Drosophila melanogaster: one gene and its partners. The gene in region 1 interacts genetically with each later gene. Each region holds a gene or a part of one and is shown in the gene's direction. Other genes may lie near its edges.

Evidence for each region.
Region 2: of if (region 1) and RpL19, changing one enhances a phenotype caused by changing the other (phenotypic enhancement), as found in Drosophila melanogaster (one study listed by BioGRID).
Region 3: of if (region 1) and rhea, changing one suppresses a phenotype caused by changing the other (phenotypic suppression), as found in Drosophila melanogaster (one study listed by BioGRID).
Region 4: of if (region 1) and bs, changing one enhances a phenotype caused by changing the other (phenotypic enhancement), as found in Drosophila melanogaster (2 studies listed by BioGRID).

What each region holds. Positions count from the first base shown.
Region 1 is NC_004354.4:16,779,033-16,787,108, reverse strand, and holds the start of if (inflated), read left to right. Parts: upstream 1-3,674; 5' UTR 3,675-3,791; intron 3,792-4,563; exon of another isoform or gene 4,564-4,639; intron 4,640-6,034; exon of another isoform or gene 6,035-6,245; intron 6,246-6,912; 5' UTR 6,913-7,052; coding exon 7,053-7,258; intron 7,259-8,076. Other genes in the region: CG9609 (uncharacterized protein), read left to right, coding at 359-544, 605-1,630; mRpL22 (mitochondrial ribosomal protein L22), read right to left, coding at 2,146-2,363, 2,478-2,691, 2,765-3,034. UniProt on the Drosophila melanogaster protein: Alpha-PS2/beta-PS is a receptor for Tig, wb and Ten-m. Involved in the function and/or development of the olfactory system.
Region 2 is NT_033778.4:24,965,200-24,972,411, reverse strand, and holds RpL19 (ribosomal protein L19), read left to right. Parts: upstream 1-2,864; 5' UTR 2,865-2,938; coding exon 2,939-2,943; intron 2,944-3,187; coding exon 3,188-3,294; intron 3,295-3,360; coding exon 3,361-3,860; 3' UTR 3,861-4,535; downstream 4,536-7,212. Other genes in the region: Phk-3 (pherokine 3), read left to right, coding at 1,108-1,473; CG3776 (uncharacterized protein), read right to left, coding at 1,666-1,807, 1,864-2,159, 2,212-2,565; cGlr2 (cGAS-like receptor 2), read left to right, coding at 5,166-5,361, 5,552-6,306, 6,371-6,566, 6,624-6,856.
Region 3 is NT_037436.4:8,542,033-8,550,099, forward strand, and holds the start of rhea (rhea), read left to right. Parts: upstream 1-2,968; 5' UTR 2,969-3,057; intron 3,058-4,642; exon of another isoform or gene 4,643-4,843; intron 4,844-8,067.
Region 4 is NT_033778.4:24,339,195-24,347,461, forward strand, and holds the start of bs (blistered), read left to right. Parts: upstream 1-3,666; 5' UTR 3,667-4,895; coding exon 4,896-5,480; intron 5,481-8,267. UniProt on the Drosophila melanogaster protein: Required for the formation of intervein tissue of the wing. Acts in a dosage-dependent manner to suppress wing vein formation and promote development of intervein cells. Might play a role in the proper formation and maintenance of the trachea.

The sequences.
Region 1 (8,076 bases):
ATGTAACGTTTTCGATAACGTATCGTACATCTTATTCAGTTGTTGCAGTACAACACTGCTAGGCAGCAATTTCCAGCCCTGGAAAAATACCAAAAAATCTACCATCTCTCCAAAAACGAAATCATAAACGCTTACCAGGGACATCATCGATTTTCTACACCAAATTAAAAGAAACCTATAAGTTATAGATTTGCTACACCAAATTGAAATAAAATCAATCTCTTCAACCTTAAGTCCTTGGCTATTTCCACGTACACGAGTGTGGCCAAATAATTCCACGACATTTGCGGATGTCGCGGTAACCTAAAACACAAAAAAAAAAGAGATTGCAATATTTCGGAGATAAAAACCCTCAAAAATGCCGCCTGGAACGCAAATTGCCAGCGACAGCGATATGGAGACCGCTCTGGAGGAGTTCAAGCAGCGCCAGGGACGCCGCAACAGCATCGGCTCGGCCAAGTACGCGTGCAGCATGCCCAAATGCGAGGCCACATTCAAGCGGCTGGACCAATTGGATCGCCATGAGTATCATCACACAGGGATTGTGAGTATAGTTAGAGTATGTTAAGTGTAAGCCAGTAGTAACGCCGCCACCACTTTGCAGAAGAAGCACGCCTGCTCGTACGAGGGTTGCGACAAGACGTACTCGATTGTGACGCACTTAAAGAGGCATCTGCGCAGCACCCACGAGCGTCCGGAGTCGGCGGCCAAGAAGACGGTGAAGTGCGCGCTGGAGGAGTGCAGCAAGATGTTCATCTCGGTTAGCAACATGACCCGCCACATGCGCGAAACCCACGAGAGCCCAAAGGTCTATCCGTGCAGCCAGTGCAGTGCCAAATTCTCGCAAAAGCTCAAGCTGAAGCGCCACGAGATCAGGGAGCACACGCTGGAGTATCCGTACAGCTGCTCGAAGTGCTCGCGCGGCTTCTACCAGCAGTGGCAGTGCCAGAGTCACGAGCCCAGCTGCAAGCTGTACGAGTGTCCCGGCTGCCCGCTGCAGTTCGACAAATGGACGTTGTATACGAAGCATTGTCGCGACTCGTTGCACGGCAAGAATCGCCATAAGTGCGACCGCTGCGATAGTGCCTTCGACAAGCCGAGCGAACTGAAGCGTCACCTCGAGGTGAAGCACAAGGAGGCGGCGCAGACGGATGAGTGCGCCACCTCCTTCACCTGCAACGAGGAGGGATGCGGCAAGAGTTACTCGTACCTCAGGAATCTACGCCAGCACATGCTCACCGCCCACTCGGGCAGGCGTTTCGAGTGCCAGGCCTTGGACTGCGGCCGCTGTTTCAGCAGTGCGCAGAATCTGGCGAGACATCTGCTCAGGGATCACAAAGATGGTGCGACGAAAAAGGAATTGAAAGCCAAGAAGAAGGACAAGAGTAAGACTGGAGAAGGGGGCAAAACTAAGTCCACATCCCGCAAGCGACGACGCGATGCTGGACGCAGCAAACATTCGAGGCTATCCAAACTGGCCTGCCTGCAATTGGACAAGGAAGATGATGAGGCGGTGCGCGAGCGACAGCCTTTGGTCCTCGAAAAGATCACCCAGTCGCTGAAGGATGACCCCGTCGAGGAGCTGCTGGCACAGACCCTGCAGGATGAAGAGGAAAAGGAGCAGGAGTAGAGCAAAAGGCCATTCAAAGGGACGGGAGTGAGAAGGTCTGGTCAAGAGGCTAACAATTGAATGACTACTTTAATTTAAACCACAACTTCTAAAAGAGAAACAACTAATTTATCAGTAAATACTTAGGATTTGCGTTCAGAAACATCCGAAATTGCATTAATTTGCATAAATTAGTAAGCTATTATTAGTAGTATTCGCCTGGAGCGAATTAGTTTATTTACTTTAAGCTTACAGTTGCAAACATTCCCTGACTTCAACTAGAGTTCCGAAACTCTCGGGCATCCAGAGAGAAAACCAATAATATCCATTGTGTATATACGCGCAAAACTAAATAAAATAAACTCCTCTAAGTAAAAATAAGAACAATATGAACCTCTGACATAGTTCTTTTGTCTGTTTCTATTTTATTAAACAATCTTCTAAAACCAAAAAAAATGCTTAATGCGCGTGGACGCGATGGCGATGGAGGACTGCAGGAGTGCGGATCGATTGCATACGAGTGCCAATTCAGGTGGCTACAGCGAGTTGATGATCTTCCGGCTTCGCATCTGCTCCATCCAGCTCTCGTACTGCTGCTCCGGCGTCTGCGGCTCCTGGTAGTAGTGCTGCGGCGGCTCGCCCTCCTCCAGGCGCACGAAGTAGTGGCAGTGCTTGTACTCCACTTTGCCGAAGCGACCGCGAGCATGCCGCCTCACGCCCTTGAAGACGCGTCCCTTGCCCACGAAGGATTCGGCTGGTAGGTAAGAACAGACAAAGATTCATCAATATAATGGTTAGTGATGAAGAAACTAATGATAATCCATCATTCATAGTGGATACATAGATTCCTTGTGCCCCTGCGGCTCACCTATCCACAGATTGCTCTTGTACTCCACGTTATGCCGCTCCACGGCTATTTGCTGGGCCTCCAGTATGGTCTCCTTCACATCGGTGGCCCCCTTTTTGAGCACAAAGTTCAGCTGCTTCAGCGCCTCGTCGACGGACATTCCGCGAACAAAGGCAGCGATGTACCACATCTTGTCCGGACTGTATTTGATGTTGCTGCGCATGTGGCAGACATACTGTGCAATGCAAGTGGATTAGAGGATTGCAGCTGGAGGGGTAACAGCAGTGCGTTCGAAATATGTATCTTACAGCATTTCTGGGCTCCTCGTCCGTTTCCTGCGGCGGATGCACGGTCTTGTTGTACTCCAGCCATTTGCGGGGTCCGTAGTTGTACTTGTTCCACTTGGCGCACAGCATTCCGGCGGAAGCGGCCGTGTGCAGGGATTTCGACTGGAGGGCAGGTGGTGAAACTGGTGATATGGCTGGTGATATTGAGCTGCTATCCGCCGATCGGAGGAGCGCTGCTCCCTGTGGCGCCTGCAGGCGCAGCTGGGACATTTGCCGGATCACCTTGTGCATCTTAGCTTGCTTGAGTTATCACAGCAAATCCAGGCAATTCAATCCGGAAGGGAAAACGCAGACTTTCCGTAAAAAAAATAATCGCGTAATCTGCCAGTGTGACCAATGGCAGCAGGTATGCCGTGGACCTAAAACGTACCGCACAAGCGGCTGATCTGCGAGCGGTATGGCAGCGTTTGATTAGGATATGTAAACATCTGGCAGCGCTATCGATATTGCTTGAAAATATATTTATTTATTAGATTTAAAAAAAAACTTGTAAAAGCAAGTTGGTACGACATAAAATTATTAACTTAAATAAGAGCATATCAGCAATTCACATTTAGAAGCCATTAAAATAATGCATTGAAACGGAAACATTTATCTCCACACAAATTAGCAATTAATACACATTTTCATAAAAATATGAAACCTAACAATTAAAGTACCCATTTGGAATTGACCATCTTTAAAGTATATTAAAATTGAAAGACATAAATATTCCTTATGCACTATGTAACTATTCTAGTTCAATATTATACACTTAAGTTGATCGTTCTCAACAGCGCGTCGCGCTCACTTTTGAATCGCCCAACGATCTGGCATCCCTGCGTGAAATTTGAAATTGTATCTGAGGAATTGCTAGCCATCTGAGTGCTGCATTCGGTGGCGTGAAGCGAAAGTTGCCTGGTGTAAAGTGCGGAGCGCTCGCGTTCGAAACGGAAATTCAACGGGCGCCAGTTTTGATTCAAATTCGCGTATGCAAATGCAATCGATGGTAATTGAACGGCGAAACATTTATATTTGCGTGTTATCTGATACATATATCCAGCCATCGAAAATGTTTACCGGAGTTTCGAGGGCTCATTGTTTGTTTTCATTAATTTGCATTGCCAGTTTGCTCTGCCTCGGTTAGCCGGCGAATTTGCTCGTATAGTCGAATTGCACTACATTCCGAGATCTCGTGATTGCGAATCTAAACCATCTGGATAAATGGGAAAACCCATTTTCACTGCAGCGTTCTCATTTTCGAGGCAGAATTAATTTGCACCAACGCACATGCGAAAATGTTGCATATCGTGCAATTAAAACTTATAGATTTCAAAGCTCATTTAGTTAAAACTTTGAAAAAAGTGTATTTACCTTTTTCGAATTTTAAAAAATATATACATTTTTTTAATTTCCGAATGGATATAAGCTTGTGTATATGAACATAAAAATCATAAATTTATATGTGATTCCATTTTCGAAATAAACGTTCTTCCATATGTACATATGGCCCAACAAAATGACACATCAAATGGTCGAAACTTTTGCTAACGGAAATTACAGACTTCCCACACGAAACTCACCTTTGAAATTTTTTTCGAGTGGGATGCTCGCTACATACATGTGTAGATAATGAAAAAATAAAACTTTTGCTATCGTTTTGGTTGTTTGAGAGCTTTGCGTTTGTTCCGAGATCGCTCTCCCGAGTCTAAAAACTAGAGACTACATTGGTTGGGTATTGAGTAGGCGATCTGGCACGAGCAGTTCACCCATGTATCTCTGGCGGTGCTAAGATGTATCTTACAGATACTGTGCGCCATTAGTCGTCGTTTAAATCTTGCTGCGTTCGCTGCCGAGGTAGAGCAAACACCAAATGTCAAATAGCAAATCAAAATATAAATAATACAAACAATACCAATTGAAAGTGAACTTTACTTATTAACAGCACAACACGCGACGCGCCAACAAATTGCTTGAAACATTTTTTTCCAGTGTTGCAGCACCAGTGAAAAGTGCACCGACCAAATAAATTCCCAAAATATACGCATATTAAACAAAATCTGACAAAAAAACACAAACACAAAAGCCAAAATCAATAAACTAATGTCGCAGCTGTGTTTGCACCTCCGACATTTTGTGCAGTGTAGAATTCGATCTGTATATGCACGTCTATATATACATGTGCATATATACCTAGATATAGGCGGACTCTGCTGGGCGTAGCACACAGCTTCCAACTTTTTAGATTTATTTTTAGACAATGATCGTTTTTTCCACTATTTTGATGTGTTTTTTTTTCGTATTCATATCTTAACCATCTGGGCAAGATTGTATGGCAATTCCAGTAGTGACTGTTGCCAAATATATTCAATTGATGTGCAAAAAAAAGAAGAGAAGTGTTCAAAAAGGGTCTCAAACCTTTTACTTCAAAACTGAAGGTTATTTCGTTAATTAGTAGTTACAAGTTCAAATGATGATCAAATAAATGGGAAACGAAGAAATATTTTTAGAAACTTTCGCCAGCTTTTGCATTTAAATGCAAATTGCACGCTTAGGAAGTTATTTATGCAAATTTAGCAACTTTCAGTTAACAATTGTGTTCGCCTGGCAACGCATTTCAATTTTTAGCCTGCAATTTGTGGGCCACGAAATTAACTGTCTTATTTATATTGACACATTCGCCAGTCATTTTGAATGCCAGCCGCATGATCAATTTGTTGAATGTTAAATGGTGTACACCATATGGCGCGTTCTACAGCGAATTTTTAGGTTGTTTTTTTTTCCTCTCTCTCGCTTAATTATAATTCATTTTCTTGTCTATGAATGGCAGCCGCCCATCAATGAACTCGAATCGCCCACACTCGGCGGAAAAACTGGGCATAAAAAGTGGAAAATGTGTCAAATGTCACCTGCACAAAACCGCCTACAACTTGTGGGATTCTTTTCCGCCACAGAAACCTACGTACACTGCAAAAAATATCCAGCTCAAATACTTACTTAAGGTCTTGATTTCTTCAAGTACTTGCAACTGAAATAATATTTTGAATCGTTCGATACCAATTGCATTTTCAACTTTTCCTTGAAAGTTATCTTCAATTTAAACTAAAGTTGTGTGGGAAGGGCTGGCTGGCTGGCTTTCAATCTGGCTAAAAGTCTAATGGCTTTTTGGCCGTTATTTTGTTATTTTGGCCAACCTGTTTGACGGCCCATTACGTCACCATCACCATCATCGCGATGCTGAGCGTAGAACGCGCCAAAATCTAAGCATGCAGCAAAAAGAAAAAAATCCAAAAGCAAACATGAAACCGTCAAAAATGTCTAAAAACAACAAATCAGATTTTAGAATTAGACAACAATATATGAACGACCCGACTGATACCCTAGCATTTTGCTGCAGTGAAAAGGAGATGATTGAAATCATTTAAACAAAAAAAAAATAAAATAAAATAAATAATAAAAAGAAGTGAGAACCTAAAGTGATTTGTTAAAAAATTAACAAGAAACCGTTTTAATGAAAACAAAAGCTACTAAATATAAAAATATAATATAAACAACCTTACATGCAAAGAAATATAATTAAAACCTAATAATATAATAATAATCGATAAAAATAAGTTCAAATTATCGGATGACATGCATTTTATTGATTTTTTGGCATTGACAGTTTAATAGTAACGAATAATTTGAAAAGAAACTGAACCGTGTAATAAAGATACTCGTAATTGGCCCGACATCCGACTTCAGACATTAGATATCCGACCAGCCCTAACCACCCCGCCCACTCCGCGATTCCCAAGGCCAACAGATCTTGATTATGATGTTAAGCGAGAGAGAGAGAGAGAGCGGGCGAGTGGGTGCGAATGAGAGAGGAAGATCGCAGACGTTGAGATAGAGATATGTGGAGATACTAAAAAACAGAGACACTCAGCATTTGCCGAGTTGAAGAATATAGTTTTTGTTTTTGGCTTTCGTGTTTTATGCTCTTTTTTTTTTTTTTTGGTTTTCGGTTTTCGTTTTTGGAATCTCAACTCATGTTGGCCAAGGTTGAGTTTATATAATAAATAAAGCCGCGCGTGTGTGTGCGTCTCTTTTGACCATATGTTATAATAATTCTCGATTCCGATCGCCAGCTGTGAAGATGCAAGCGTAAAGTGCTAAGTTCTTGGATGCAAGCCCAACGAAATCGATATACAAATTCGAGAGAAAGTAGAAATACAGCAAAAAGTAAAGTAATCAGCTCAGCGAATAAAGAAGTTAGAAAGTCGACAAAATGAGTGGAGATTCCATCCACCGAAGAAGAATGGCTCTTCACTGCCCCATAACGAGCCTGATTCTGCTCCTGATCGCCATGTCCGCCCATGGTTACAACATCGACCTGCCCAGCTACGTCCGTTTCCGGCAGTCCAGCAACTCGATGTTCGGATTCAGCATTGCGATGCACAAGGGTCGCAGTGGATTCTACGGCAATCAGAATAAGTAAGTTTAACTAATTGTTAGCCAAGCATAGATCTAGATAAATATATTTTCATATAACTAAGTTGAGAAGTTAGCGTTTCATTTCGATTCCAAGGCAACAAGCTGAATTGAAATAAAATTGTAAATAATTGGAAAATTTTCAGAATTTTCAGCCTACTTGGATTACTTATATTCATTACAACTTCCGAATAGGGTCATTTATTTTGCTTTATCTTCGAGCGACCCTCTTGACATTTCTTTTCAATAAATTATCTTCGTTGGAAGAAATGTGCTTTAAAATGAAACTCATTAAAGATAAGTAAATCATATGGGATTAAAGCACGCTTTCCAGTTAATGCAGTCTGTATAGTCGTTTTATCTGAATTGCTGAATTTCTGAATTCACGCCGCTATCGGTTACTCTTTCCATTTCACTTATTTGTACTACGATCTAAAAGATGCTGGTGTTCATCCATCATATAATATCATGTAAAAATACCAGATAAGACCAACTATGATATGAATATAACATGTGATATATAGTATACAATATATATTATTTATTAGGGTCATCTTTTTTCCTCAATTAAGTAGAGCTCTTGTTTTGATAAAGTTAAGTGTGCCCAAAAAGAAGAATTCCGCCGATATGAAAGAAAAGGGAAAAATCAGTGCATCGGAAGTACTTCGTTTTCTTGCTGGCGATAAAAGAATTCATTCAATTCACGCAAGTTTCCGGGATTTCACAGTTCAATTCCTTCTTTTTCGAAAACTTTCCAGCACGGTAGTGTCCTTTTCACATGTCAGTAAGAAGCCCCAAAACTGAATGCTGTTCATATTCAT
Region 2 (7,212 bases), on another chromosome or scaffold:
GGTGCGTGCGATTCATGACGCCAAAGATAATTAAAAGGGAAATGGAAATGCATAAAAGTGATTACAACACAGCGACAACAACTCTAGCACTACCAAATGCGGTCGTTATGTCGGGAAAGAGTTGGACACCCAACTCCAAGCTGATCCAAGCCGATTCAGCAGCTGTGAGTCTCGGAGCCACTAAAACCAACTGGCAAAATCAACATGTAAATTTCAATTTTCACGTACGTCAATGTTTTTCCTATGAATTTCGTACGTGAACGAGTAAACAAACGACCAGGGTCTGAGAGATAAATCTGTGATAAAACTCCCATTCCATTCCACCCTTTGAACCGCTGGCCCGAGCATCGGACCACTTGCCGAAATTCGGCTGAAAAAACCTTAAGTCAGTCATCGAAAATCCGGTTCGGTTTGCCTGCTTTGGGTCTACGCTGGGCCGCGACTTGGCCAAACCCGCCGCCTGCTCCCTGCCTGCTAAAGCTCTGGATGCCAGAGAGCTGACCATTGCGCTCAGTGTACGAGCCGCTAAAGCTCCTGGTATAAAAGCGAGGCCAGCGAGCTAACAGCTCGCAATTTGAGTTGCGCCTTTGATCGTACCACAACTGCACCCGGGCCACCGAAAATCACCGGAAGAGAAGTGAGTAAGCCATTGTTCAAGCCGTGGTTCGTTTGCCCTGGTTAGGCCGAGCACCCGAGGAATTGAGGTGCAGCACCCATCAAGGATTGCGAAAACCAAACAGCTGGCCACGGGCTAGCATGGATTCGGATATTGGACGCAAATAAGTCGAAAGCTGCTAAAACTACGTGGTGTCGGTGAAATTGTGAAATCTTTTCAAAAATATTAAATCCAAACGATTGCCAATTAGTATGCATATGCGATATATATGCCAAGGGCCATAAATAATGCATGAGCTGGTGGGCAGACCACTAACCGCTTTGGATGATTCTTTGACATGCGTCGAAAACACAGAAAAGCCGAGACTGCCTGACGCCTTCTTATTATCCGCTTACCCGGCAACCAAAAATCCCTCATTTTAGGAAATGTGTTTCGTGGCTTACCTTTAATAATTTGAATTTCCCACCTGCCTTTCCAGATAATCCTCCAAGATGAAAGCCTCGCTAGCTCTAGTGTTCTGTGTTTGTGTCGGTCTTGCGGCAGCTGCTCCTGAAAAAACCTACACCAACAAGTACGACAGTGTCAACGTGGATGAAGTTCTGGGCAACAACCGAGTGTTGGGTAATTATCTCAAGTGCCTGATGGACAAGGGCCCATGCACAGCAGAGGGTCGTGAACTTAAGCGCCTTTTACCCGACGCCCTTCATTCCGACTGCTCAAAGTGCACGGAAGTCCAACGCAAAAACTCACAAAAGGTAATCAACTACCTTCGCGCCAACAAAGCCGGCGAATGGAAGCTCCTCCTGAACAAGTACGATCCCCAAGGCATCTACAGAGCAAAGCACGAGGGACACTGAGCGCTTTGCTTGTCCACCAAATGCACTAATTTCACATGAACCTAATTTAAACCAGAGATCCACAGTAAAGATTTTAGTTTTTTATACCTAAATGCGGAAAACGAAACTTTTATTCCAACGAAGGCGGTGGCTTACGCCAATATATGCTATGAGTCGGCGAACAGCGCGGATGATGGTAGCCATGGGCCGATGTTATATGGTCTCGTTAATAAGGTCGATGGCCCTAAACTGGTTGGCCACATTTACGGTCCAGTCCGATTGGTGTCCAGCGGTGAACTCCTTTACAAAACGGTAGTTGCAGATGAAAACCTTATCCTGGTACTCGGGAAGGGTCCTGCAACAAATGGGTATGAGGAGCTCAGCTTTCGGGCAGTGACAGTCCAAACTTACCCCATGTTCCAGGGTATTTCCTCGCCGCGTTCCCGCATCTCGGATAGACCACGCATTACGTGAAACACCATGGTGATCTCTACGAAACGCTTCTGCAGCTTGTCGTTTGCATCGTCAAACATAATACCTACCTGATAGGGAAAGCTGAGGTATATGTCGCTCTCCTTGATTTCTAGCTGCCTCCGTTGCGTCATTGACAGTTTTTGGATTACCGGTCTAAGCTCTGCGATCGCCTCGGGCGAGACAAGATTGTCCAGGGAGTCTAAGTCGCCGCCCATCAGTTTTGAGGATACTACCTATGAGGGAATTAATATCATTACACTTCATGATAGACAAACCATGACGCACCTGCAGCGCTTGCTTGGCGCCGTATATGAAGTCCTTGAGTTGAAACTCGCTGTCGAAGTAGGGTCGAATTATGAACTGTATGGTGATCCAATTTTTTAACGAGTTAAGCGCCGATGGCCACACGATCTCTGGAAAGTCCATTAGGCGAGGCAGGCGGTTAAGGCTCTCTCTGGCATTCTGCTCCTTCTTGTCTTGCTCCTGCGGCAGCGAGGCGAAAGACCGACTGACCGGTTGTGTTGGCTTCGAGATGGACCCAGCTTCCTGTCCCCCGGAGGCTGCCACTGTGGGTCTGGGCTGCAAACGCATCAGGGATATCCGGGCCATGCCCAAGCAGCGTATAAGCGTGTGCTGCATTGCAGAAATTGCACTCTGAACAGCTGCAACTGGGCTAAAAAGTTGTTTTTGTTTTTCTTAGCCAATTTAGTGTGACCGCAAGTAGATAAATAAAATATACCAAGCTTCGTTACTTAATTGCTCTAACTTAATTCGAACAATATAAATATGGCCGGATCTTGCACATCCAAGCTGCTGGAAACCGCACAAAGTAGTTGTTATTAAATATTTTTTTTAAATAAATCTTGCCACTCCGCTTAAACTAGTACATCCCCGAGGCGTTGCCAGACCCCCGAGTACGTTATCGATGTATCGATAGCACCCTTCAGAAAATGGTGCTGACTTCCGGCTGTCAAATTTTTCTTTCTTTCCTAGCCACGACGAGGTCGACAGCATGAGGTAGATTTGAGTTCGCAAATATGAGCGAAAAGTTGCGCTCGCGGGGTCTAAATGTTTGCAAAGTGTGCCGGGCGAGCGCGTGCCGTATGATGCAGCTGCCGGGCGGACAAGTGCCATTCTGTTTCCCGGCAGTTGTGAAATAACCGAACATGCGACGCTCATGCACACACACACACAAGCTGATAGGCGCATCCCAGCACGCTACTTTCGAAATGATGGACTAACAAGTTACCCTCCTTTGCAGTTCTCTAAAGCTCCAGAAGAGGCTCGCAGCCTCCGTGCTGCGATGCGGCAAGAAGAAGGTCTGGTTGGATCCCAATGAAATCAACGAGATCGCTAACACAAACTCGCGTGAGTAGAAATGGTCTAAATGGTCGAATAGACAGCCCAGCTAACTGTGTTGTTAACCCATTCCAGGTCAGAACATTCGCAAGCTTATCAAGGATGGTCTGATCATCAAGAAGCCCGTCGTGGTCCACTCCCGTTACCGTGTGCGCAAAAACACCGAGGCCCGCCGCAAGGGACGTCACTGCGGATTCGGAAAGCGTAAGGGTACTGCGAACGCCCGCATGCCTACCAAGCTGCTGTGGATGCAGCGCCAGCGCGTTCTGCGCCGCCTGTTGAAGAAGTACCGCGACAGCAAGAAGATTGACAGGCACCTGTACCACGACCTGTACATGAAGTGCAAGGGTAACGTATTCAAGAACAAGCGCGTCCTCATGGAGTACATCCACAAGAAGAAGGCTGAGAAGCAGCGCAGCAAGATGCTGGCTGATCAGGCCGAGGCTCGCCGACAGAAGGTGCGTGAGGCCCGCAAGCGCCGCGAGGAGCGTATTGCCACCAAGAAGCAGGAGCTCATCGCCCTGCATGCTAAGGAGGACGAGATCGCTGCCAAGGCCGCCACCGCGGGTCACTAAGCAGTCCGACCTCGCTAGTCGAGGAACTCCATATTGATAGTACTGTTTATCGTCTGAATAAAACACCTTTAGTTTGGCCGAAATGATTTTGTACAAACGTGAAACTCATGCTTATTTTTTTAATGGCTTTCCCTGGGAGCAGTCGTAAGGGAATTTGGTTGAATGTGACTTGTTAATTCTTATTCCCTTATGTTGCATTTCATTGTGAATTCAGATTAAAGACGGTGATTAAATTCAAAATATTCACTTCCCTCGTTTTAATATCCTCAATACCCCACAACTTCAAATGCTTAAAAAACTTTAATATATTGGTTCTTGCGACTAGCTTTTTGTGAGAAGTATTTTGGCATTTAATTCGTTAATTATGCCAGGTAATGGATTCATTTTACAAGCAGCGTCAATTATTACTCAGAAGTTTAATTGTTGTATTATCCTAATATATTTTACTTTAAGGTTACCCATATTCCAAGCTTAACTGAAAATAAGCTGGCCCTAACTATGTAGGATAACAAGACGTCCCCAAAGCTCTAGAATTCTATATGCATTTGTATTCTTGAATTTAAATCCTATGTATAATTTAAATAAAAAGTCAAATAAATGTATAGTAATAAATAACTGATGAAAAAAGTAAAAAAGGTCATGAAAAACCGCTAATCTTTGATGTAAATGCCAAATGTCCCCTCCTTCAATATGTATATGTATGTAGGTAGTGAATAAATAGCGGTAAAAGAGCGATGAACCGTGATTTGTTTTGCCTATAATAATGCGATTAAACAGCGGTGGCTATAGCGGTGTTTTTGTGATGTTTTTCTTAGGGATAATTTCCTGGGACATGCTAATGCTAAAATCATCGTTTTTTATACAAAATGCGATCGGTACTTTTACTGAGCGCTTATTTACTACCGAAAAACTGGGCAATGCATCTTAATGCTGTGTTAAGTCGGAAACTTAAAATAGGCAACCGTATTTAATATACTAGTTTAATTAGTTCGTTTATACCTAAAGTAAAAATTAATTTATTTTTTAGTATTTAATCGATTGTATAAAAGATATTTACTACCGAAAAACTGGGCAATGCATCTTAATGCTGTGTTAAGTCGGAAACTTAAAATAGGCAACCGTATTTAATATACTAGTTTAATTAGTTCGTTTATACCTAAAGTAAAAATTAATTTATTTTTTAGTATTTAATCGATTGTAAAAAAGATTCCAGTGTCTCCAGTGTTCGCTAATCAGCAAACCTTATCTTTAATTGTGATTACCTTCATTGGGATTATTCACTCATCAAATAATATTGTAGAAAAAATGAAGGAGTCTAGAAATCTTGAAAACTTTGTGGAAAAAAAGCTCTATGAATGCAAAAAGAAGTATGTTGACATTCCAAAGGACGAGGGACAACGATATGGTAAGCACTATGAAGCACTGACATCTAAAATCTTTGAAATACTGAGAAAGGAGAATCCAGAGCTGGACATCATTATTGCTGAGTTCAGTTTGGAAGGTAAGTCATTCACGGGGCTCAACTTCACATAACTCCATCCAATTTCCGATATATGTATATTATCGGAACCATAATGATAAAAAAAAAGTCCGGTCGTATTCGTGTATCCGCGCTTCGTACTCGTTTCCATCGCGATCCCTCCGCGCCGCGTTTCTCAGTCATTACTTACCGCGCAGCTTAAATTCCGCAGGCAGTGTCGGGGATATGTTAAAGATCGCGAAGCCCAACGAATTCGATTTGGTATTTAAGTTAAAATTTCCGTACTACAAAAGCATCGCCGTGACGCGAGATCCGAAAATTCCGGGCAACGTACTACTCGATATGACGCGCGTGTTAGAGCTCCTTAAGGATGATCCCCGCGAGGATTTCCAGAGAATTCGGGAACTGATTCAGGGTCGACTCGTGGATGCGCAAAACTTTTTCGTCGTGGACAGGCTTCGTTCTTGGCTTCAGAGCTTGTTTAGCCAGGCACTCAACAGGATATCATATCGCGTGGAGCTGGTTGCCGGCGTAGTGTCCCATCTCAAATATAGAACCTGTGGGCCGGCCCACACTATCTACGTGTACGGTGATTATGAGTACTCTGTCGACTACGTACCTGCAATCTGTTTGGCGGCCGAACAGAACGTCTTGCCCACGAAGCAATTGGAGTGCTTTAAACGCGCCAACACTTCTTACTGGGAGGCGATTCCCAAGCCTCTGAAACCCCTAACTGAAACCAGCATGATCTCCTTTCGTTCCTCGTTTTACGCCGTAGAGAAAATATTGCTGCAGGATGTGCACGAGAATTGCCGGAATGCAATTAGGTTTATGAAAAAATTTCGCGATGTGAAGACCAACTTGGGCAATTGCAAAAGTTATTACATTAAAACTTTATTTCTTTGGAAAATTATACAGGAACCAGAGTCCTACTGGCTGAATCCGCTCTCATTCATTTTAGCCGATGTAAGCATGAAGTGACTTCAGTATGTCGACGAATGCAAAAATAATTTTAATTTAAATTTAACAGATGTTCGACGACTTGGCGGAGAACTTAAGGCGGGGAGTTATTACCTTTTTTTGGGACCCCGAGCTGAACATGATCGACGCATTGACCCGGGATCAAGTTTGGGAAATGTACCTGTGCGTGCAAAGGATTCCAAGAGACCTGAGGGGCGCAGAGATCAGCCGGAATAAATGGAGTTTTTTCGTACTTCGGGAATTCAGTAAGCTTTTATAGAAAATGTACTTCCAACTGTCTTTAACGCCTCTTTGTTTTTTAGGTCACAAAAAGGAAAGAAATGTAAATCTAAAGTGCAGCTCTAGGCGAAAACGAAATGTTATTAAGGGACTGAAGACCACTTCAATTTGCAAGCTAAGAAATGCTCGAACTAACGGTACCTGGACTGCTGGACTTTGGACTCGACCCGGCCATGCGTACAGAGGCCCATCGGAAACGGTGTCGACTTGGGACACAGTAAAGGACGCAGCGTGGTCAGAAGGGATTGTGGAGTAAGTGGATAGTGTCCTGCGACACGAGCGGTCCTAACAGACGTGCGCTTCCGGGTGGTTGCAAAGGTGGTTCTGGGAAGAGCATTGATTCGCAATAATGGAAGTTCTCTAATCTCAGTGCAATTTACATATGTACTCTCCAGCAATTGTTGAATGCACTTTAGTAGTAATAAGAGGAAAATTAAATGGCACGCTCTATTTTTTGCCCAAGTTATGTTACAACAATCTATATTGATAATTTGGTGCAAAACTAAAAAAAAATAAAACAATGTTGAATATTTTGCCACTTATCCTAATTTATTTTTAAATTTAAGCATTTTCGAATTAGCTAATTAATTAACGGCGTTGGCCGGTGCTGCC
Region 3 (8,067 bases), on another chromosome or scaffold:
TCATCATCTCCTATCCTGGAGCAAGGACATTGCCCACGCGCCGCTTGTTTGCATTTTTATTGCCACACGCTGCGGGGTTGCAGGATGTCGATTTTCAGCACGGCCGCCACGAAATTTTAATGAAATCGTCATCAATTAAAATTCGCTCTCTTCCATGTCCATGCCCCCAGACGCCAGTGACAAAGGCAATGACAATGACACGGCACAACACTCCAGTTTCACATTTGACTGCACTCAGAGAAATGAATTCTCTAAAAGAAACACAAATAGCTATAATGGATTGCCAAGGTCTTCCAAAGTCTTAAAGTATCTAAGATTCAAACAGATTACATTTCATAGATCAGTGAAAGATGCTTGCATCAGTTTTAACATAACTACCATAAGTTCTTATACTAAACTCTTTCTAAAGTCTCAATGATTTCTTCCTGTGCACTCCTTTGGGCTTGTTCCATCTTTTTACGACCGAGACGTCCATCCGGGCACTTCCACGAGCTTAGTCTCGGATTGCTTATAGGATTCTCCGGCGCATAACTCGCCATACTCGTGCCTGGGATCGTTCTCAGCTATAAAAATAATTTGTGGCCAAAAACTCCCCTTCCATTCAGCTTCAATCCCGATCTCGAATTCATCCAAAAGGGGTTTGGGTCGTACGGCTGCCGTCAATTTGTAGTCGTTTGCTTGTTTTTCCAGCCTCGCCCTAATGGCTTTTCATAAATTTTTATTGTTCTCAATATAAGTTTTTCATAGCTGCCCGCATGCAAATGTCCTTCGAGTGCTTCGAATTTGTGGGGAATTTGTCGGGCAATATGAAAACGAGTTTACGCCTTTCCAGAATGCTAAACAAATTGGGGAGAAAGGACGGTTCACTTTATAATTGTGAAGCAAATCGAATTTAAAGGTTTCGAAACGAATTTCCCAACAATTGTAAGCGGAATCTACACTAAATAATACATTTATTTCTAAATTAATGGGTATTAAGAAATGGATATGAATTTATTTCCGTTTTTTGTTTAGCAATAATTTCTAAACATTTTGTAAGTGTCTGGTACTAGTTTCTAAAAACAGAGAAGCAATTACAAATTTCAAGCAATTAGTTCTTTTGAAAACACTCAAACTTCTTGTCATCATAAATTTCTACGTTTTTCAAGTTTTTCTAGTTTTTGTTGTACTTAAAATATGAAAAAAACTTATTATATTTCAACCAATTTATTCGTCTCCAAAGAGCTCAGATTCATCCGCAACTAGAAACCAGAAATGCATTCGGAAAACTACAAACTCAATTAGATGGCCATAAATCTCCGGCAGAGTCAAGAACCCTCTAAATTTTGGTTGATAAAATGCCGAAATTATCACGGCCCAAGCACATGATATATGGGCATTCGGCTTGGCCGGTTTAACCCATTAGCCAGCCGGAAGATCGCTCAATTAGCGTTGCTCCTCGCTGCTGGTCAGTCCCAAGTCCCAAATCCCAAGTGGGTCACTCGAGGAAAGGATTTGCGAATCGGGTTTTTATTTGCCATTACCGAAAACCAAACTCCCTGGCCTCTTTGTTGGGCCAACAAAGTGACATAAATCTTGGCGAGCGCTGGCACAAACTCAACCGGAACTAAAGCAATGACGCAGCAGGAGCACCAGGACACATGTCGATGCGTTCTGCTCATCCATTTCGCTTGCTCCTCCTTGGCCAGCAGTCATAACGGGCGTGTGTGTAAAGCGAGTGTGCCAGTTCCGAGATTTATCGGCCCGAGGGGTGAGTCCATATCTGCACATCCTGCATCTTCTATCTGCGTATCGGTTTGGCAGGCCTCGAATCGCGGGACATCAATGCTCAATGCCCAATGCCCAATGCCGGATGCCCAGAACGACAGGCGTTCGATTGAAATTAATTGAATTTGCGCCCAAGCCACGAACTTGACTTCGTTTCAAGAAATTTCTCAAGCGCGCAGGGGCGGGCATTGTGCACAGAGAGAAATTTTTATATGAAGAATATAGTGTTTTATGTATGAAGGTTTTCTGAAAGTTCGCTTTAAAATGTTTCTCTTGAAATTTCCAATAATTAAATTCAAGTTTGATAGTAGCAAAAGGAATGTTTATCCCCCCCTTTGATAATTTTGCAACTTGTCTTTAATTACTTCTCATTTTTTAAGAGTGTTGCGAAAGAAGGACCGTGGACGCTTGTTTCCTGTTTATGCTCGAGATGTTTTGCAGCATAAATTACGCGTACACATATACCCATGTATTCGCGCATATGATATCCTTGACAAGTCGAGAAAGGAGAAGGGAAAAAAACAGGAACATTAAATTTATTTTTATTTCGCTGCCTTATAGGGAAAGCAACCCCAGTGAAAGGGCCCCCAAAGACGCGCGCTATGTGCGGTCCGTTGACTTTGGCGAAGTCATGAATTCGCTTGCTTATTTTTATGATTTTGGCTAGTTTTTGTTTTTCGGCCCTTAGATTGCTCGTCTATTTTCTGAGGGTTGTAAGTTGCACACTTGGTTGCCCTCCAATCGCCGAAATCAAAACGGAAACGATGATCGTCTCGGAGAAAATTCAGGAAAGCCAGACAAATTTATCAAGTTTGTGTGGGGGTGCGCTTTGGTGGGGCTTGTAACCTTCATTAATCATGTGGATATGTTGTTTTTATAGGATTCGACTACAAATCGCTTAATCTTTAAGCCTTGTTTTAGTTAGACTGCATTAGTTGGGGGTTTTATTTTAAATTTGGCGCTCATGCCTTTACATTTGGGGTGACCCTGCACTTAACAGTCTGCCATTGGCATAACAGCTCTGTGTGCAGACTACTTTTTGCTTGCCGTAGTAATTTCAAATATTATAGAAGTATAGGCAAACTATGATTAGAACTTGTAAATTTATATATTTTTTATTTATTTTGTAATTATGTGACCCAAACGCTAATTGGTTCCGATAGCCGCAATGACTTATCGATAGCTGCTTGACGCACGGTCACACTGTCTTAACTACGGAATATTTTGTAAAGTGTTAGTTTTATTTACTCGATTTTAGCTCTCTTTAAGCCCTTTTCGCCGTGTGTTTCTGTAAGTTAACCAATGTTTAAAACCCCAAGTGCACAAATCAGTTTAAAGCCCCTTTCCCGCGGCATGAAAACGCGTCAAACAAAGCCAGTGGAGATTCAGCTGCGGCCTGGCCAACAAGAACTCATTTCGATTCGTTCGCACATTTTGTTGTTGCCGCCTAGTGGGTGCTCCTCCGGGGTGGAGTCATCATCGTTATCCCTACCCCCAGTTGTTGGCGCCGACTGTCCGGATTTTGGTCTCTCCCACATGTCCCGCACATTTGTTTTTGTCGGTCACGCGAATTCCGCCCTTTTAACCAAGTTTCCAGTGTAACAACAAAAGGGGGCAAAAAAAGGGAACGCCCGCATTTGTATGTTTGTTCGTTTGTTTGCTTGTAAGCATCGTCTACGTTTTATGCTAATTAAAGTGCAACATTTTTTTTTTAGCCAAAGCTGCGAATATAATTCAATTAACGAGAGTCCAACTGCGACTGCCTCGCATTATCAGCACAGCAGTTGGTTTGGTTTGACGGCTTTATCTGAGCAGCTGGATGAGCGTGCAGAATAGCATGGTGTATATGTATATGGGGTACATTCCATACGCGATAAGATAACCCCCGGTTGCTGAAGAAGAAGAAGAAGAAGCGCCGGATTCGCGGGAGTTGGCAATTGCCTTCAATTCTCAAGTTAATTGTGGAGTTAGCTGTGCAACTGCAACCCTCAAAGATCCGAGACGAGGACCCACAAGACTCGTGCCTACATCCCGCTGTCAGTGGCATAGAGATTCACTCTTCCCGGGATCAGGCCCTCAATTGCGTCAATAATTGGACCTAATTGAAGTCAACAGGCTATTATTTTGCCTCCTTTGTTTATGCACGTTTTTGGAAACTGTTGTATTCAATTATTTCAACTGAGATTGAAATTTCTCATGTATTCTGTTTGTGTAAGAGTTTTAAATGCAGATACTTTCCTAAAAAGAGACTGGTCCTGTTTAGATTATAGTATCTATAGAGATTTGAACCCATAAAGATTACGTTAATATTGTTGATTGTTTAGAAGCATTCCTTTTGGGGAATAATCTAGTCCGTCAAAGAGTCATTGATATTATAGATAAGAAATGTTTGGGTCATATAACATCATCAAAACAAAACGTCATTACCAAAACATTTCAAAATACTAATACTTACAACGCTCCAATCGCTTGACTAGCTTAGCCCTTGAAAAGCAGGAGTAATGTCCATTTCTTAGAAAACCCCATGTGACTAAGCGCACTTCCTCTTCCAATTTCTCGCTTCCTCTCTGCTCACTTTTGAGAAGAAAGAAAGAGCCATAAGTTGGGCAACAAAAGATTAGTCACCACTGGCACGGGTCCATCACCTTGTGGCCACTACCTTCTCCTCCGCTGCCCCTTCATTTCACCGCCCTCCCTCTGGCTGGCACCTTTTGTTTTGTTTACATTTGCAGACGGCGATCAGGAGAATCGGAAGAATCAGAGAGGAGAGAAGCCTAGCAGCAGGTGGCTCTCTTCGCGGCTCTCCCATCTGTTGCTCATGCTGCTCACACTGCCCATGGAACCGAGCGAACCACTCGCTTCTATGGCCCGCTCATTCGAGTTTCGTCCGTCGTCGGTGCCAATTCGTTCGATTGTGCCGCGCCCGATATCGCTATTGAAATATATATATATATACATATATCTACCCATATATATGTATAGGCGATTCGTACATATATGAATATCGCATATCGTGCATATCGTTCAAGTTCAAATATCAAAAGAGTTTCCAGCCCAATTGTGGGAATTAAAGAAGGTATATACATGACGAGAGTGCGCGGTCATAAGTGTGTGACATATGGTGTTATTTTTATCCATTCCGAGTGGAATATGTGCCACAAAAAGGCAGTTCCATTGTGTAACTAAGTTCAAACGCCAAATGCACGTTGCGCCTGCGCGATGCGCGCCAAAAACCCATCGGAAAACCCTTTTCCCCATTTCGGATGTCGAGCGTTTTAGAAAACAAGCTGAAAATTACCTCATCGCGCTGCCGGCGCCAGCGTCGACGTCTGCCGTTTGATGTCTGCCCCTGACTACGCTGGTCCACAGAGAAAAAATTTGGATTATAATAGATCACTAGGCTATATCTTATGACGTGCTAGCGAAATCTTAGGACTAGTCAGATTAGCATAATTCGCTTTTCACGATGATGCTTTTTTTTGTATTTGTATATGGATATAAACCTGAGCAAAGGGTTCCATTCAACAACAATGTATAGTATTTGATTATGTAATCAAGAAGTACTGCATTATTTATATTACTGTTTATCAAAAAAATACTATATTATTCTCTGTGTACACAAACATATAGATATTTCATTCTATATTTCTTGCTTGCCTAGCAGCTGGCGGCTGGCCTCCCACTCCCCTCCTCCACAAATGCGATTTATCTTTAAGATACAACGTACGCTAAGATTTGTTTGGTATCTGTACGTAGATTTATTGTTTTTTTTTGTTACGCTCTTTCCTCGCTCTTCTCTTCACCGATTTAAATATCTCGCGTCTTTCGATGTTTTGTCATAATTTCTCTGGCTTTTGTCCTGTTTTCTACACATTTTTTGTCCGATTGTTTGGCAAATTTCGCCGTCGCTCCATTTTGTGGGCGTATTTTGTATATTATTTATCCATTATCTCGAAATGTCAATGCGCTCGTTTAAAGCTGTTGTTATTTTCAGTCTCTCTCACTTTTTCGAGCGTTTCGACCTTATTAGCAGTGGGCTTCGGTTTTGGAATGCCCGCCACATAAACACGCTTCGGAAACATAAAGAAATCGAGATCGGAGCTCATTTTCACTCCATGCTCCACTGTGTGGGCAGTGCATCGGCTCCACATCTACCAAATATTTCGGACGTAGACGTGGGGACGCTCAGCATCCGCCAAGATATTAGTACACTTCACAAATATTAATGCTCAAAGATCTAAATATCATTATCAAAACATTAAAATATGAGTTTCTTATTTGGAGAATGCATGTTACTTTGTTCTTCTGGAATTCTGTTTTCTACTGACCCATTGTCGTTCATAATAAATATTTCAACACTTTCATTTTCTCCTGATAAGATCTTTACTACATGTTAAAACACTCGAAGGAAAATAAGTATGAGAGTGTTCCAATTTCACCATCTTATCTGCAATTCGATTTCCTCCTCAAAACTCAACTCATGATATATGTACCTATTTCTAGGCAAGCTGATATCAGTAATGTCTTTATACTTCATTGTTTGTATATTTGTATCCGTACAATCCAATGATAATAATCCACATGTTTGGAATGTTGCTTAGACCTCGATTTACTATATATTTATAAGCTATTTATAGCAATTATCCAAAAAGTATTACCCGGAATTTGTTAAGTGATCCGCGTGCACATTCGGCTCGGCTGGAGCGGCAATTCATTGAGCAAACTGATTTGTAACTCGGTCACTGGTGGAAACACTGGTGGGCAGCAGCTTGTGTTGCCCATTTTGGGGCACGTTTCGATTGCCAGACAAGTGACTGCATTTTCCACTTGTATCTGTTGGATAGTTTTTTTTTTCATGGTTTTGCATACTTTTCGTTCGCCGTTTTATTAATTGAGCTGTATTCATTAATTCTTTGCTTTGCTTTGGGGCGAGACGAGTGCAAAGGTCTTCCACTGATCGCTGGCCATACAACTTTCGAATACGAGATTGATGTCCCGGGGATGTTTACGCAGCGAGGATTACTTCATAATTTCGGGACTAATTGAATTGGTTTTTTTGGGCAAGCGTGAGATGGGAACTTTTTGATTGCTTGGTAATGTGAAATGACACTAAAATAGGGCGTGAAAGTTAAAAGTGTAAAAATCGCTTATGAACCGTTCAATATTTATTCACCCATGTTACCTCTGTTATATATTTCGATTTTTCGCCCATTTGTTCGATTTACTTTTCAAGCTCAATTAAAATAAATTAAGCCACCCGTTCAACTCGTTACAATATCGAAAAAAAAACTACTGGCGGCAACCAGAAGAACAAAAGCAAAACGACCAGCGTAATAACAATTAAAAAATAAAAATAACAACTGGTGTGTGTGCTCTATTTTCTTAACGCCTCAGCATTTTCAATGGTTTTGTATTGCACTTGAGATACATGAATGCATACATGCTGAATATACATTGGCTATATATAGCTACACTGGGCAAACAAACCATCTACAATATTATTGATCTTGTGTAGAAGTCCTAAGATAACACTCAGATATGTTGTAACTTAGGTTCTGTACCAAAGTCGTATATCTATTAAGATATGAAGAACATACTTTTCTGCTTAGCGGTCATGTTTTCCCTACAACTATGCAACTTGATAAACGTTTTTGAGAAAATCTTAAATATTGTTCTCTCTGTACAACAGATACAGCTACTTGGGGCTGATGTGAGTTTATGTGGGCTTAATGCTGCCGCACACATGTTTCGCTTTTTCACCGGACCTGAATCAAACAACCGAAATGCTAAATAAACAAAATGGGCCGCAGAACTCAGAACTCGTAGATGATTCCATATTGAGTTCGATTGGCCGTAGCGTATTGTGGAATAGTTTATTGTTTTGGAATGTTTCTTAATAACGCGGAACTCGAGTGGCGGAGGTGGAAGCACCGACCAGAAACGACCGATCTGAATCGGAATCTCGAACATTTCCATCTCGACTCAACTCGATTTCACTCGATTCGCATTCCGTTTTCGCACGCACACTCATCGTTGAGTCATTAAGAATCGCTGGCAGGAAGGAGTAGAGATGGAGCCCCTTGTTTACTATTAATGCTGATAAAGAATATGCATTCGCTTCTAAAAATAAACGGCAAGTATTCATTCGCATTTGTTGTCTGGCCATCGGCGGCATAACGTTTATTGTCACCATGTTTGTATGCAAACAAACGCATGCGAAGATTTATGCAAAAATTTTATTTTTTTTCCCCATCGACCACTGGACTACCGAACTTGGCGAGAGATGTGTACGTATCATTT
Region 4 (8,267 bases), on another chromosome or scaffold:
GTTGTGCCATCGACGATCCGCAGATCCCAAGCTGCTGTGCTCCACCGTTGGCAGTTGGCAGTTTGCAGTCTGCAGTCTGCAGTCCGCTGCTTTCCGTTCTGATGGCCTCAGCCAGTGGACCGTCTGCGTCGATCCTCCGCCTCCACCTCCATCTCCCGTCTCCCGTCTCCTTGTCCGCCGTTGTTGTCAGTTGGAGACCGAGTACAAGCGACCATAGATCGCTGGCAATCGATCAAGTATTTCGCGTACATTATCCGAGATGCGTGGGATAATTCTGTTCTAATTTGTAGAGGCCCCGAGCTCCAGTGCCTTTGGCCTCTGGACTCTGAGTTCTGGGCTTTGGGCTCGACTTGGCCAAAAGTGCCTCGAGGAGCCCACTTCCATGCGAGGCACGCACCGACCCATCTGCGCCTGCCTTCTGATTTTCATAATTAATATTGGGTGAATTAAAATGCGCGGAAGGCGAGGAAGTTAGAACCGCGTGCTCGGGAGGAGGGGAAGTTAAGGGAAGGGCAGGCGGTTCCGAACTTCCTGCACTTGTCACCGTGAAAAGACGCGGCACCACCTGCATGCAAATGAGCCGGACTACCGGTAATCAGGTGAAACGGTCACGACCTGTTAATCGTTTTATGATTGTAGCGGTGCTTTTGTTTCCTGTGCACAAACGGTACTTGCACTTCGGCCCAAAAGAAAACCAATGCCCAGAACTGAGAACTGAGAACAGAGAACTGAGAAGCGAAATCGTAAGGCCAAAACCCCCAGCTTTTCCTTTTGTTTTCGCCCAGGGAGCCGCAATTTTATTTAAATTGTAACACAAGCGACCAGACAATTGCCCCGAAGTCTCGCAGAGCTCGATCCTGATTTCGATTCCGATCCCGATCCCGATTCTCAACCCAATCCAATCCCTACTCCCTGCTCCTTATGCGTTATTCATGAGGCAAAAACATTGCGATCGCCTGTACCAATTGCCAATTGGTTCGACTTTTGAGCTGGCGTTGGCGGTTTTCTCTGCCGGCTTTGTCAATCTCAGGCTTTTGGCTTAGTGCGCTGGAGCAGGAGCAGGAGTTGCAGTTGGACCTGGCTTGGTTAAGTGGTTCATTGTCACCCCAGCGCCCAATTAGACACCTGAGTTTCTTGGCCACTCGCTTTCCGGCGATCATACACCGCAGTCATGTGCTCATGTGCCACGTTCTTGCATTCAATCAGATATATTCCGATTGGCCGATCTCGGGCCCATCTGTATAAGGAGTGTGTGTGCTCGGTGGTTTGAGTGTGTAAATCAACCAGCTTGCTGCGCAGATAATAGATATTCTATTTTGAATAATACCTGGGGAGTCGCTTGTACTGTTTTCGTTTTTTTTTTGCTATCTTAATTGCATCCAATTCTACTATCACCAGTCGTACCAATGACTTGCCATCCGAATCTCGTGCTTTACTTGAAATCCTAACACAATATTTCGCAGATACTTTCCCGCATGACCATACTGAAAAAGACAAAAAAAAAGGAAATTTACATATTTCGACTATTTAAAACACTTTGGCTTTGGCTTAAGGCAAATGCCCAAGTAGCGCTATAAATAGTAAAAAAGTCTATATATATAAATATACACATATGTGGCTATGGCTATGGCTAGCTGCAAAATCAAAAGTTGTTCGGAATCGTAAATGGAACAAACGCTCCTCTCGAGTTATAAATATATTTGGGAATATACCTATGCCATCCGTATGCCTAGATGATCTGTCCACCGTTTTGAAGGTGAACTCTGCAGGATTACATAATGCGGACTCTGAGCAGCAGCATCAGGAGCAGCCCCCTAATTCCCCTCGTCCCCTCTCAAATAAATGCACGTAAAACGGCAAGCAAATAATTAAGTATTAGAAATGTTCAGCTGGGGAGAATTCCGCGGAAAGTGCGATGGCAAAAACTACAGCATGTTGCAGTTGTTCCCAGCTGGCCAGAAGCCTCCAAGAGAAGCCAAGAGTTCTCCTCCAGACAGGCTGACGATTGCCTAGAAAGACAGCCGCACTGGAGCCAGCGGACTCCTACTGCCGGTGGAGGAGAAAACGGCGGAGAAAGAGGGCCTGGATGGCTGCAGACGCTGAAGAGCCCAGCCTGCAGCCAACTAACCAATTAGTAAGCGCTGCACAGAACGCGTCTACAATTGTGAGAACCTCAGACCAGGCTTGCAGGCCAACAAGTCAACAAGCCAAGAAGCCAACAGCCAGCAGGCCGTGTGAGTATGATGAAATGTCAGCAGGACCAGAAGCTGCATCGAAATGCACTCGGAGAAATACTTAGCAAACAACTAAAACCAAATTACACAATAAAAAAGTGTCACAGAGCTAGAGATGCATATGTCATATGACCCATCTGTAAACCTAATCCATATAAAATACGGAATTATTAGGAATGCGTGGGGATCATCAAACTTCATCTTTATTTATTGTTCTTTCTTTTCGCAGTCTTGGGGAAATGGGAATACAAGTGGAAGGCATCATTCAGATTCAAGTGACCCAAGTGGCATCCGTTTTCCCGTAGTGTCCAGAAGACCTGGTGCCCGCTGCGTGGATCGATCCTTATATGATCCGCTGGCAGCGGCAAACGTTCTATTTTGACAGTCATTATGATTAATTTAAATCATTAGGCAGCCCGGGCAGGTAGACAAACCATCGAGCTCCTATATTCCATCTAATTAAATGCGAGAGGAGCGGAGCTGCAGTTGGCTGTGGTCCTGGTCCTGGTGCTTGATCGGAGTCGACCTCGGAGTCGGAGTCGTGGAGCTGGACACGGGACCTGGACTGGCTTATTCGCGGAAGAGACAAGCTGGCGACAACGACACCGATGGCTGGAAAAGGCAACGATGACCATTTGCAGCTGGGGAATGCATCATCTTCGATCGCGGATCGGGGCGCAGTGAGTGTATCGATTTATCTGCGCTTACTATATACATATCTGCTGCTATCTGCTAGTCGCTGCACGTGGCCATGCCCACTCCGCCCCTTTGCCCATTCCGCGAACCTCTATTTAAGGACATGGCGAAATACTCGTGCTCCTGTGTACAAGTGGGCCCACCACGCAAATCCTCTAGAGCATTCTGACCATATTGGCGGGGCTAAGAAATTCCTGGCATAGTTTAAGTGTATCGCTTTTTGTTGCTGCGCCCGGGCACTCAAGATGCCCGCAAAGCTCAGCCTGCGAAATGTCGCAAAAGAAATTACAAAATCAGCAATAAGAAAATCAGAAAATCACAAAATCAGAAGATCACAAATTAACTAAATTAACAGCGCTGATAAGGCGAAACGCCACGTATGTAATTACCGAACTCAACCACGAGTTTTCAAGGGGAGGAGCCAATGAGCCACCCAGCCATATGAATCCCAAATCCACGATCTATGTGTGCGCATGCGCAGCGAATGGGTATGCATATGGGGGCGTGGCCATCTAATTAATTAAGCCATAAAGCCAGCAAAATGAACGACGGCAGCAGGAAGACGCCGAACGGGGGTGGGGATTGGGTCGGGGAATGGGGGATTGGGGTTTGTTTTTATGTACTCCGTACTCTTCGCGTTCGAAATCGAAGAGAGCGCGGCGCTCTTAGGAAAAGAGGAAACCGGTTCGCCCAAGTTTGGAATATCGAGCGAACATCGTTGGTGGAAATACGCTGAAGTTTATTAGGTATTTGCACGCCATCTGAAGAACAACGAACGCCAGCTATCGATCGCAAGTTTAGCCCGTCGAATCGTTTCGAATTCGTATTTGGAATGAACCACAATAAAATCGCCACAAATAAAGTAAACAGTCCAAACAAGTGCCTAGCGACAAATAAGCAAACCAACTGCAACGCATACGGAACAAACAAAAACACAAATATTTCCCATAACTGCACTAAATCTACGAAGTCGAAACAAAGTTAGGCGTATTTTTTTTACCAGAAACACTTAAACAATTTTTACAAAAAACGGATATTAATGCAATCAGTTCGAGACAAGCAGACAGCAAGCGGAAGACTTAAGGAGATAACAACTTATAGAGGCCATAATCAAAGGAATAAAGCACCATCAGCCAGCGATGAGAAGGAACGTCTTCAATGATAAACCTTCGAAAACTTTTAGAAAATAGCAAACATCCCAATAAACCACAACAATTATAAAACGCGAGAAAGGATTTGGTAAATCATCTAAAACCAGTTCAACAAACAACACATATAGTAAACATTAAATATTAAATCACAAGTTTTAGAAGGCAAACAAAGATAAAAACTCTTAACACCAGTTAAATAAAATATACTAAAAGAACTGCAACCAAAAAATAACATACAATTAAATGAAATTAAAAGCCATAAAGAAACTTAAAGCCATTGGAAACAAGCCATAAAAGCGGTCCAGAACCTAAATATTAAACACAAACCAAAATTCAAATTCCGCGCCAAACGACCACACTGCGCAACACACGAGCGCTGCATCCCTGGACTTCAGCCGCATTCCAACACTGCAGGACTGTCAGCTGTCAGTTTTCCTGTGTGTGTGCGCGCGTAAGTGTGTGCGTGCACTTAAGAAACTTAAATTCGCGTTCTTGGCCAAAAAAAACCCGGGTTTTTAATAAGTTATAGCGTTTTCCTCGACTGAGAACTTGGCCCCCAGGCAGACGGGCACAAAAACCGCCCCAGAAACGCGCCCGCCGCCGCCAAAAAGGCCGAAAACGCCAGCGAAACGCGCGCGTTGAGTGTTTTCTGTGTGGTTTTATTTTTGGAATATAAAGCGATCTGATCTGAAAAGTGTGCCGCGGCCGGATTCTAGATATTCAGATTCCCAGCACCCGAAACCCAAACGCAATAATAGACGCGCGCGGTGCCTTGGATCTCTACGGCTCCACGGTGGAGAACTTTTACCTCAGAATGGATCCGACGCGAGGTGACTCGCGGTACAATCTCAACTACTCGATGAGTAGCATAGGGCTGAGCCTGGCGGATCCGGCGGACATGTACGGCAACCCGGCCCTGGGGGCGGGCCGCCCGCCCTCCGGTGGCCTGCTCCAGAACATGGGCGGCGTTCCGCCGATGCAGCGCCCCAATCCCGCGGCAGGAGCACCCCCTGCCCCGCAGTGCCAAACGCTCCACAGCCCACAGCACGCCTCCCAGCAGCAGCAGCAGCAACAACAGCAGCAGCAGCAACACCAGCAGCAGCAACAACAGCAGCAGCAGCATCCCCAGCAGCAACGCGGCCTTAAGCGCTCCGGCAGCGACTGCTACGAGGATCACCACCGCTCGTCCGGCGGACTCACCCTCCAAGGACTGGACAACGTGGCCAGCGGAGCCGTCGACGACAGCGTAGACAACTACAACCCGCTGCCCAACAAGAAGTCTCCGCCTGCCAACGGCAAAAAGACAAAGGGACGTGTCAAAATCAAAATGGAATACATCGACAATAAGCTGCGTCGCTACACGACCTTCTCCAAGCGCAAGACGGGCATAATGAAGAAGGTAAGATCGCTGGAGCACCCCTACGCCATCCCCATCCCCAACGATATTTTCAACCCAACCCCGAAACCGAAATCGATCCCCATCCCAATCCCCATTCCAGCCACGATTGGCGCTGCAATTGGGATGTTGACATCGGGCCACGTTTCCAGCGCATGTGCAATTAATAAATGCTTCAGGGATTCAGTTGCGACGGAATCCAGCAGTTCCCCCACATCTCTGGCATTGTTCTGCCTCCGGAAAGAGCGAGGATTTATTGTCAATTGGCCATCGGCACAGTGGTCGGGATAGCTGGCGCACAATAGGAGAACCATCTCGGAATATCAAGTACCCAATGGATATATCCAACAGTTAGACCATTTGTGTACATTACTCGTCAGTTCAAATATTCAAATCTTTCTCTTGTGTCCATTACCAATTATTAGTTCCACTTGGAAGTATGTTTATTGGACCAATACAAATTCTGCTTGGAAATTGCTTATAGGCCACCTTATGTTGGGATCCCAAACCTAATGCTAAACAATTTGATTTAAGACTCAAAAACCCGAACCACTGTGCCCGCGAAGTACCTCTGCTCATCTCTAGAACAGTAGCCGCAGATCCTCTGCTTTTGGCCAGATCGCGTCTGTTTGGCCAACTGTTGGCCGCTTTGGCGGCGTTGTGTAAGCGCGGTAGCCCACGATTCCGCGTTGCCTTTGTTTTCGGCTTCATAAAATGTTAATTTGCCGCCGCAATTGCATTCAAAGGAGGCTCCTGCCCACGGAGCACTCCTCCCCCGAAACAATTGATGCGTGCTCCTTGTGGATGGTGGCCCACAAGTCGCTGCAACTGGCAACGTTGCCTTGGCATTTTCAAATGACCAATTTTCACACGCAAACTTACATAATGCCACTGCATTAGCTCCTGCTGCTTTCCATCGATCTGGGGGCCGTATATGAAATTTTTCACATTTCTGAAATAGACTTCCCTGGCCACTAGCTGAACCAAGCCCCGATCAAAATCAGACAAAAAGCATCAACATCGCGGCGCTAAATCACGATCTCAGCACGATCTTTGCCCAAGACACAAAATCTTATGAAATATTTGACCCAAGCAGACCAAAAACAAAGACGTTGGAGCACTTAAATTTAAAAGGGGAGATTTGGGAAAACGTTTAGCTTGTTGTACGCTAGAATGGCAATAAAATGTCAAGTATAAACTAAATGTTTAATAAGTTTAATTTATTTACTGAAGTTTATTTACTTTCATTATTAAGTCGCAAAGTAACTTATGATTCTTGAATTAGAGGAAGTGAGCAACCCAAACCTGTTAAACTGTTCCTCTTTACCCAATCTCAGTTGATCCCGAAATGGTGTTTCCTTATCGGTGAGGGTATCCAAAACATTTGACCCCTGGGACGTGGATTCTCGGGGCCGAGCTTATGACAGGCGCACGCCCGGGACAAAAGGCCGCTTCCATAATATGCGTTCCAAAAAAATATCGTTTTGGTGACTTTGATGCGGTCCCTCATCGATGTCCAGCCGGCGGACAGTTGACAGGCAGACAATGGGATTTTGACTTGGCGCTACCAGCGGTAGCAGCAAAAAGCGCAGAGGCAATCTGCAATCCGCCATCCCAATCCCAATTCGAATCCCTAGCAGCCAACCAACAAATTGCGGCCAATGAACTTGGCCCAGAGAGTTGTCGCGCCAACCTGCTGGCATGCTTTCCACTGGCCAATTTTGGTCATTTCGATCTGGCCGAGAGCCGGGGCTCTTTTGGCGTGGGTGGCGGTGGTCAAAAGGCCAAAAAAGGCGACGAGAGTGAAAAGTGAGCTAATGTCCAGAAGTGATCTCATTTGCTGGCCAGCCTAATTGCGTGGGCCGCATCATCGATGGATTCGCAGCTTTCGCTTCTGGCTTCTGCATAATGCACGGCCATCGAACAAGAAGCCATCGACAAGTTCCCAACAATTGGCCATGGCTAAAAGGGCAGCCGGGCGCAAAATGCCGCCAAAAGGTGTTAAATTGAAATCACGAGGCCTGGGATTGGGATTGGGGATTGGGGATTGGGCTTGGGAATTGTTTGTTTCGGGGCCAGCTTGCAGCACGGAAGCTTAGGCCGCAGCCTCGTCGGCAGATTGTGCCCAGATAAGACCCAGAAAGCCGGGCCAAGAGGCTCCACGTCGGCTCGCCTTTTGGCCACATGCAACAGGCTGTGGCCTCTGCCACATACGGGGAAAACAGGCAACAATCGGCTTCTAACAAATGACTCTCCATCTGGACGGAGCGGTCGCGGTCTCTGGGGCTGCCTTCTTGTCCTGTCAACGCGCTCGTACCCCAATCCTCGCCCGAATCCGAGTCGTGTCCTTTTGTCTTTGTTCGAAATTCAAATTGACATGAATTGTTGGCCTGCTCGCGGTGCCCAAGTAGCCTTCCTTCCTAGCCGCACAATCGACACCTACTCAGAACCAGCATCTGAATCAGAATCCGAATGCGATTTCGAATCGGAATCAGAACGAGAATAATCGGAATCCGATTCAGATTCCGCTTTCGGACCGTGTCAATTGTTTGCATTTACACATGTTACACATAAAATTGGCAGCCAATCGATGTCTGGCAGGGATGGGGTAGCCCAATCCAATCCGATCCTATCCGATACGATACGATGCGGTGCGATGCGATCCCCGGTATCCAATACCCAATACCCAATCCCCATCGCAATTCAGCCAACAATGTGTACAACAATTTCATTAATATTAATAAATGTTCTCGAAGCGTTTGCTTCTCGGTCGGTCGGCCAGTTATTTAT